Linked DNA regions of Coturnix japonica. The protein of the gene in region 1 interacts with the protein of each later gene in a pairwise test. Links are inferred from orthologs where the notes say so. Each region holds a gene or a part of one and is shown on either strand. Other genes may lie near its edges.

Evidence for each region.
Region 2: the proteins of MAP1A (region 1) and RHOB interact in a two-hybrid assay, tested with the Homo sapiens proteins (2 studies listed by BioGRID and IntAct). The link is inferred for Coturnix japonica from reciprocal best matches to the Homo sapiens genes MAP1A and RHOB.

What each region holds. Positions count from the first base shown.
Region 1 is NC_029525.1:18,381,897-18,386,323, reverse strand, and holds the start of MAP1A (microtubule-associated protein 1A), read left to right. Parts: upstream 1-1,520; 5' UTR 1,521-1,537; coding exon 1,538-1,697; intron 1,698-4,427. UniProt on the Homo sapiens protein: Structural protein involved in the filamentous cross-bridging between microtubules and other skeletal elements.
Region 2 is NC_029518.1:92,811,405-92,815,904, reverse strand, and holds RHOB (rho-related GTP-binding protein RhoB), read right to left. Parts: upstream 3,055-4,500; 5' UTR 2,737-3,054; coding exon 2,146-2,736; 3' UTR 704-2,145; downstream 1-703. UniProt on the Homo sapiens protein: Mediates apoptosis in neoplastically transformed cells after DNA damage. Not essential for development but affects cell adhesion and growth factor signaling in transformed cells. Plays a negative role in tumorigenesis as deletion causes tumor formation.

The DNA.
Region 1 (4,427 bases):
GAACCTGTGCAGGTTTGGCTGTGTGTGCAGGGCAGGCTCGGTGGGTGTATGGGAACTGTTGAGTCCCGGCCGACCCACTGACTGAGCCCCTGGGAGCACAGGTGAAGGCACTCAGCCGAGGGACAGCAGGGGCTGGAGCCGGGCTGCACCTCACTGAAGGGCTGACAGCTCCCACCAGAAATCCTTCCCCTGTACATCTCCCTCCGGGGCAGACTTTCTTGTGAGCCCAGATCTGCAGAAATGGGTGAGCACTGTTTGTTTGAAACACCGTTCTGTCTGCGCGAGCCTCGTTGCTGTTACACCTCTGTATCACCCTTCCGCCGTGTTAATGTTTCTGAGTGTAGCAGTGGGTCCCCAGGGAACACAGCAGCACCGCACCCCGCTGTCCGACCATCGGCCTCCTCTGCTGCAGCTCAGCGCTGTGGGAGCCTTGCACACTGCAGGGGGCGCAGCTCGGCACTGCTTTGAGAAACTGCAGATTATTGTTGTCCTGAATCTTGTTTTGCAACGACAGTCTTGTTTCTTTGCTCTGCTGCACCAATACAAGGTAAATTGCAGTTTCTTTGTCAGAAGAGACGTGGAGTTTCCTACCCGAAGCTGCTTCCTAGTGCTCCTCACCTTCAGCATCAAGTTTCACGTTCTGCTTGCTCAGTTTTTCCACACGGCGCACTGAGCATCCCAGAGCCCTGACTGACCAGAACAGGCTGCTCAAGTGCGGCCACATACCACATATCTGTCCTCCCTGGCACCCTGGACGCCAGCAGCCCCCATTGGCACGGCAGGATCGCTCACAACCACTGTTGTACCTGAGGAGCAGACAAAAATCAGGGGCTTTAACCTTCTATTTTATGTTTCCGGAAGCCGGATCTCCTGTACCAACATACTTGTCTGTAACTGAAGGAGGAAAAGAGCCATCGAGAAGAGATCAAGACCTCAGTGCTCTGTTCACCTCGGAGGGACAGAGAAGGAAGAAGCCGATAGGAAGGAACAAAAGCCGATGGCGAAGCCTGAGCATCCCTTAACACCGCAGGCTCCTGTGGCGTCACTGTGGATATTGCGGTTATGTGGCAGCCGGCATTTAAAGCTCCACGTGGAGTTTTACGTTTGTGTGACTCTCAATCAGACCGACGGCGTCAACTGAGCCGTGCCCAGGATCGCCCTTGTCATGTCGCGGTTCGGTGCCGGAGCGCACAGCACCAGCAGGCGGAGCGCGGCCCGAGGGGGGGCACCGACTGCTGCAGGGAACCGGAGCCGAGGCTCCGCCGAGCGGCCCGGGCTCGGCGCGGGAGGAGAACCGTCCCACGGGAGGAGAGAGAACCACCCCCCGGGAGGGGAACCGTTCCCCGGTGGGGCCGCCAGCCGTCCCTGCCACCGGCTCTGACACCGGCTCTGCCACCGGCTCTGCCTTCCAGCCGCGCCGTCAGTCCCCGCCCCGTTGGCCGCAGTGGCGCAGCGCGTCCATCCGGGGCGGAGCTCGGGGCGCTTTAAGAGCCGCTCGCCAGTCCCGGCGCGCTGCAGCGGCGGCCGTCGCGTTACCATGGAGACGACGGCCGTGCCGGTCGCTATGGAGACGGCAGCGCCCCGGCCGCCGGGCGCATCGCGCTGCGGGGCGGCGCGGAGACACGCGCTGCTGGCGGTGATCGGACCGGTCGGAACCGAGTCGGAGCGCGGGGCGCTGCGAGGAGCCCTGGAGCGCGGTGAGGAGCGGCGGACGAGGGACGCGCCGTGACGGGGTCTCCGCCGTTCGCCGTCCGCCGCCGAGCTGCCGCAGAGCTCCGCCATCCGCACGGAGGGGCGGCGTCCCGGGCGGTGGGACGGGACGGGATGTGATGGGACGGGATGGGATGGGACGGGACGGGATGGGATGTGATGTGATGTGATGGGATGTGATGTGATGGGATGTTGTGATGCGCGGGGAGCTCCGTTCTGCGGGGCGGCACCGCGCGGAGCCGAGCGCTGCAGATCGGGGGGGGGATGGAGCTCGCGTGGCCGTGGCCCTGCTGAGCGCTGCGGCTGTTCGGAGCACAGACGTGCTTTTTTCCCCTCTGTTCTGCACGTTTCCCCCCATTTCCCGCCTCCCTCGTGGCTCCGCAGGTCGGGGCTCGTTTTCGTCTTGCCCGACCTTCGGCTCGTTGCGGGCTCCGTCGTGCGGGGCAGCTCCCCGCAGTGCGAGGGCGCGGAGCGACCCGCGGGACCGCGACCTGCGGGAGGACAAAGCGCAGCCGCAGCGGGAGGGCGAGGAGCTGCGCGGGGCTCCGCTGTTGTGCCGCTGTTGTGCCGCTGTTGTGCTCCCCGTGCCGGGGCGGCGCCCGGGGCCTGGCAGAGGTCCGTCTCTGTACAGGGGAGGTGGTATTATATAAAGCGACGGGCACCCGCCGGTGGGGCGGAGGCTGCAGCTTCGTGGCTGTTTCTAATGGTTCTAAGGACGGACCATCGTGACATCAGCGCCTCAAAGGTGGGAGAGACGGTGTCCCGTCCTCAGCGGTGTCCTACACCGGTAAAAATGAAATAATACCTCCGGAAAGTTTGTATGTGCTTCTCTCCTTTCTCACCATTTCCAGGGTAAATTGGTTTTAAGTACCAGGAAAGATAAATGCAGGTTTTGAGGTGCGGACTGTAAGCGGCGCAGCCCCGTTCTGCGGTCAGCGCTCTGCCGGGTGCCTCCCGAGTCCTATCGGGTGCAGATGCACGTGGGCGAGCATCCCCTGGCAGCAGCTTCTTGATGGCAAGCAAAACTGGTCCAAAACATTGCATGCTACACATCTAGGTTTTTATTTATAGGTTTGTCTTAAGAATAAAACAGTTCTTGGTTTGCCTTTGTTCTTCTGGCTGTTGTGCCCTCCCTGAGCAAAACCTCAGGAGGAGGTTCGTGGAGGGTAAATGAATGTATCCCTTGTTCAGGCTGAACCAGAAAACTCACTTTCCCCATTTTCTTCTTATAGCTTGATTCAAAGAAATTGAATAACGCATATAGGACACTGCAGGGGAACCTGCTCGTTTCCACCCTTACTGCTCCTGATGCAACGTCACTGTATCTGTGGCACACTTGAATACCTATTCTAAAACGATGTCCAACAAATACTGGTCTGATTCTTCTGTTCCTGTGTAACTTTTGTCCTGATCTGAAATATTATTTGAAGTAGTATAAGAAGAAAATACCTGATCTTAAAACCCAATTATCTTGGCAGGAAATTAACAACAAAACAACAAAAAATATTACAAGGGTATAATGAAAGAGGTGGGAAGCAGACAAGTCCCATGGTATGTTACCCAATCTGTGCATGTAAGAAAAATATGCACACTTAGAAACCCTGTTATGGCACAGTCTGCAGTCCTACATCAGCAGACAGGATGCTAATCAGCAAGGACGTTGTTCTGGCTGTTGTACAATGGCATAAATTGAAACAGGCAGGTGGGGATGGGTAAGAAGTGATTTTAGACTGCCTGGAAAAGAAAAAAACTATTGCATAAATTGTGGCAATAATGAGTGAAAGGAAAATTTCATTTTTCTTTGCTCTGAAAGAGTATATTTGGCTGCATTCTGGAGGAAGTAGAAGTGCCTCTAATAGCATCAGTTGCTGCAGTTGGACTCCAGGACTCTGACACAGCAGCTCGAGTCAGCAGGATGTGTCCTACAGCGTGCTGCTGTGCCCTGCTCAGGTGGAAATGCTTACAGACACTGCAGTAAGAGGCACTTGTACTGGACACTAACTTAATCTGTCATGCTTTCCAAGAGTATTTCATGGGAAAACAGTCTTTTCATCTTTTTCCTTCCTGTTGTGCTATTGTTTTGTTGTGCATTTTACTTGTTGCTATCCTTCACTAGCCTAAAAGAAATAGGTGCTCTGCAGTGCTGAAGGTGGTGGAAAGTTTCTGGATTTTCAGAGGGCTTAATGTTTGTTTGTTTTGTGTACTCTGTTGTGCAACTGTATTACTCCGTGGTTTTGGCTGTCATCAGAAAAAAAAATCCTAAGACAAACATTTTCACAATTTGCTGTGAATTCTTGAGACTACTGAAGTGCAGTGCAGTGACCAGGTGATTCCATCCTGTATCTGTGCTGAACGTTGGAGCTTGTATCCTAGAAAATACTGCTTTCCACCAGTAGCCTTCAGAAGCTCTTGTGCAACATCAGGTTGCTGTGCTGGAGAACCAGAACTGCGGTAACCGGGATAGTATCTGTGAAAAGTGAACATGCTTCACTCCTAAAGAAGGCAGAGATTTGGCAGAGAGGGCACACCTTCAGAAAATGGTGGAGTAACTCTCAACAAGGACCTTAAAAATAAATACCAGGGCTGAGATCTGAGGAGCTCTGGTTAACTCCTGCAAGTCTGTGGTAGTGGTCTTCAGCAGCCATGCTTCTGCAGCCAGCAGCATATAGAGGTTTGCAAAGTGATTCATGGTGTAGTTCCATTATTGTTCATGGCAC
Region 2 (4,500 bases), on another chromosome or scaffold:
CAAGCAGCACACAGAGCTCATGCTCTGTTAAAGCTGAAATGTGCTTTCTTAGTTTTCTCCCCTCCAGGCAAGACACTGTAGCCTTAACTTGGGCAAAAGTCCAATTTGAAATAATGAATGTAATTACCCTGTAAGCACCTCAGTGGAAAATATTGGTCGAGCTAATTATACAGAGACGCGATGCTAAGTCATTTCCTAGTGTTTAAAATACAAATATTAATGTTTTCTCTTTGGGGATGTTGAGATTATGACTTATCACTGCAGCCTAATGAGCTTGTAGGCAGTTGGTTTAAGGCAAAGGTTCCCCGTGCTGATTTTAATATCCCATGTTGGCATTGTGTGGAACAGTAGGATGTGTAAGATGTGGCTTCAGAGCTCTCTGCAAGGATGGGTGCTCTATGATCCCTTTGGGTCCCTCCCGACGCAGGATATTCTATGATACTGTGAGGGCGGCCCCTTTAAACATAACAAACTGAGGGTTTGAGTTCTGCTTTTGGTAAAAGATGTTTGTTTTAGGACCGAAAAACTGACTGTAGGATTTCCCAAAGGGAAATAAAACCCCCATAGCCCTGCAAGCTGCCTGACAGGTATCGTCAGCCAGAGGAGGAGGTACCATAATAGCACAGGGCAAACTCACACAGCTCACCAGCACTGGGCTCCAGCTCCAATGAGGGCAGCCCTGGAAATCACACCACCACCTTAATTCAGCATAGAATCTTTTAATACTTTACATTAAAAAAAAACCTGCATACACAGTTCATAGATTTATGTAAACATCATATACATCTCAGTTGTCGCCATGGCAAGTTCTTAAAAACAACAAACAGTCTCAGTACCACTGTTAAGGGAAGGAGAGAGAGGAAGGAAACAAACAAACAGGTAAATCTGTTCTCTGACCCAGAGAAACGCTGCATTATTTTCACCTGGGTCTGCTACCCAGCGAAAATAAGTTTTAAATAAACCTAAACTCTTTAATCTGCCCTTTAATATTAAAAGTCTGATGTACTCGATGCGTAAGGAACAGTGCTTTCATCTTTTTCCAAGGCAAAAAGAGATACAGTGATTTCCATTACTCGTGCCCAAGTCACAATGTACAACAAGGCCCAGATGAGGTTACCGAGGAAGAATGTTTCCAACGCTGCGGTGCTGAATGAAGATACAAACACATTGAGTAGCCAACAGAAATCCAAACTGTGCAAACTCACTTCAAAACAAGCGTTTAAATAAACCCAAATCAATGCATTCGCAGAAGACAACATGAAATGAAGGAGCAGGCACCAAGATCATCATATGGCAATAAGCTCCGTCCCCCTCGCTCCCTTGCCACATCCACCACCAGGATGGAGCAGCCCAGCTTTACTTCCCAGCCCAGTGACAATTCAAGGCTCATGTCAGCAGCAGGCATCGGTTGTGCTGGGCAAAGCGTTCCTTTGCACAATTATAAGTCCCAGCAGGGCACCCCCTCCCCACCTCACTTGAAATAAGCACCCCCTGCACTACCCCGGTTTGCACAAGACAGAAAAGTAAGATATATACAGGCTTTGCTTGGGATGAGCCTCCCCTCCCAGTCCAGGTCTTCAAGGCCAACTTGCACATCATGTCAGGTTCAGGCCAGAACACCTGCAGGAGACGTCAGGACGCCACAAGCAGCCCAAAAGATGCAGCCTGCTCCCCAGCTCGCCTGAGGGGAGGCACATGCACGCAGGAGGCAGAAGTCCCTTCCAGCATCTCAGCTCCACCGCTCTCCTCTTGCAAAAGAGAGGAGGCCGCCTGGGAGCCGGGAGCCGCAGGTGGTGGGCGCAGGCAGAGAGCTGGGTGCAATGTTTGCTCAGTCCAGTCTCAGCAGCTTCTTGTTTAGAGTCTATCAACTTGAAGGGGCCAGTGACGGGAGAACGCTCCTCCCCACCCGATTCCCAAGACTCAGGGCATGCAATCCCCACCCCCCCTCCCTCCGTCCCCGCGGCTGAGCCAGCACAACCCTTTACGGCTGAGGGAGCGTGCCCCTCCCTTAGTCCCCACCCCCATTCCCTGCGAGCCCCCAGCTGAGGGGACAGGCAGATGCCGTGTGCATGCGTGCCCCAGCTCCTCTCCGCCTGCCAACAGGTGACCCAGGCGCCGTGCCCGGCACCGAGCTCCAGCCTCACCCTATAGGACCTTGCAGCAATTGATGCAGCCGTTCTGAGTGCCGTAACGCTTCTGCAAGGCCGCCCGGGTGGCTGTTTCAAAGACCTCCCGGACACCCTCCTTGGTCTTGGCCGAGCACTCCAGGTAGTCGTAAGCCTGGATGCGGATGGCCATGGCGCGGCCATCCTCTGTGCGCACCGGCTCCTGCTTCATGCGGGCCAGCTCATTGCGAACGTGCTCATCGTTGCGCAGGTCTTTCTTGTTGGCCACCAGGATGATGGGGACGTTGGGGCAGAAGTGTTTGACTTCGGGCACCCACTTCTCCGGGATGTTCTCCAGAGAGTCCGGGCTGTCCACAGAGAAGCACATGAGGATCACGTCCGTATCTGGGTAGGACAGAGGGCGCAGGCGGTCGTAGTCCTCCTGGCCGGCCGTGTCCCACAGCGCCAGCTCCACCTGCTTGCCGTCCACCTCGATATCAGCCACGTAGTTCTCAAAGACGGTGGGCACGTAAACCTCGGGGAACTCGTCCTTGCTGAAGACGATGAGGAGGCAGGTCTTGCCGCAGGCTCCGTCCCCCACCACCACCAACTTCTTGCGGATGGCGGCCATGGCCAGGCTCGCCAAGCTGGCCTTGCCGTGCAGCAGGACGATGGCAGCGCCCTCCTCCCCGCGGCCGCCGCCTCCCGCTTCTTCTCGTTTCTCACAGGGCACCGTGGCGAGCCGGGCCCACGTAGGCAGCGAGCAGGCGGGCTACCCGAGCTGCCACCGCGTCTCCGTCCCCTGCCCCGGGGATACGATTCAGCCGCCGGTCCCGCCCGGCTCAGTCCAACTCTTCGCAAGGGAACGGCAGCAACAGCCGGCAAAGCACTAAAGGAAGCAGAAAGAACCAGCCCCGCTCCGCTCCGCACCGCCAATGCCGCAAGCTGAACGCCGGCACCGGTATTTAAAGGCTCTCCGACTTTCCTAATATAGCCAGCCAATGGGAAGGCAGGGAGTGAGGTCATCCCCGGCGGAGAGCGTCACGATTGGTCGAGCCCTGCGGGCGGGAGGCGGGGAGCGAGGGAGGAGGGGGCGGGAGGGCGGCGGGGCTGAGGGGAGCCGCGATGGGGGGAGGCTGAGGGCGGGCAGGGCCGGGGATGGGGCTGGTGGGGCTGGGCTGTGGTCAGGGCTGGGATGTGGTCAGGGCTGGGCTGTGTGGCTGAGGAGCTGAGGAGCAGGGCTGGGGGTTGTATGCTGGGTGCTGGGCCCCCACGGGAGCTCTGCGGCAGAGGCAGCCCCCGACGCGGCCCCTCCTGAGGGCAGCTCAGCTCCTGAGGGGATGGAAGCAGAGCAAGGCGGGAGGCACCTCCTGAACCCGCAGAGCTGAGGCGGTTTAATGCAAGAAAAGCCTTCGATTTCGGACACTCGGCTCAGCCCCGCTTCCCTTCCTCAGTGGAAACAGATCGTCACGCTTGAGAGTCTCTCCTTTGGCTTTTGGCCGGAAAAGGGCTGAGGAACTACTGCTGGAGATGGCTGGATGTGGGTCTGATCTTACTTTGCACCTTTCACACCTAATACATTCAAACCCAGGTCTGACAAAAGACTGTGAAAGTGTTACCCTTACGTTGGAACTGTGTTACACTTACGTTGGAACTGTCAGCAGGCTCCGTTTCATCCCTTTACATTTATCACTGCTCACAATTGCAGGCTCTTCCCATAACCCTGAATAAGTCACCTGCGTTGAAGTCTTCCTTCCCACGCTGGCATGTCCTTGTCATGGGGAGTGACTGGGGGAGCTGAGGCTGTTCAGTCTGGGGAAAAGGAGGCTGAGGGGAGACAATATTGCTCTAACTGAAAGGTGCTTACAGTGAGAGCGGGTGACAGGTGACAGGATGAAGGGAAATAGCCTCAAGTTGCACCAGGGCAAGTTTAGGTTGGATATTAGGAAGCACTTCTTTACAGAAAGGGTTGTTGAGCATTGGAATGGGCTCCCCATGGAGGTGGTTGGGTCACCATCCCTGGATGTGTTTAATTGCCGTTTGGATGCGGTGCTCAGGGACAGGATTGAGCAGAGGGTTGTTAGTGAGGGTGGTATGGTAAGGTTATGGTTGGACTCGATGATCTTTAAGGTCTTTTCCAACCAGAGCAATTCTGTGTTCATCACATCGTTATTGTCCCTACAGTATCACAAGCATGTGCACCCCTTCTAATGGGCAGCTGTAGTTCATTTGCTGCATAATGCAAATCTTGATGCGTTGTGCTGTTTTCCAGTTGCTCGGATCCCTTCGGAAGCGGCTGTCGTTCCTTTCGCCGGAGTTCGGTGCCCCCTGGTGGTCGCTCTGCAGCCGGCAATGCCCGGCCTGCTCCCAAGGCAGCTGCAGGGAGAAGCTCCGG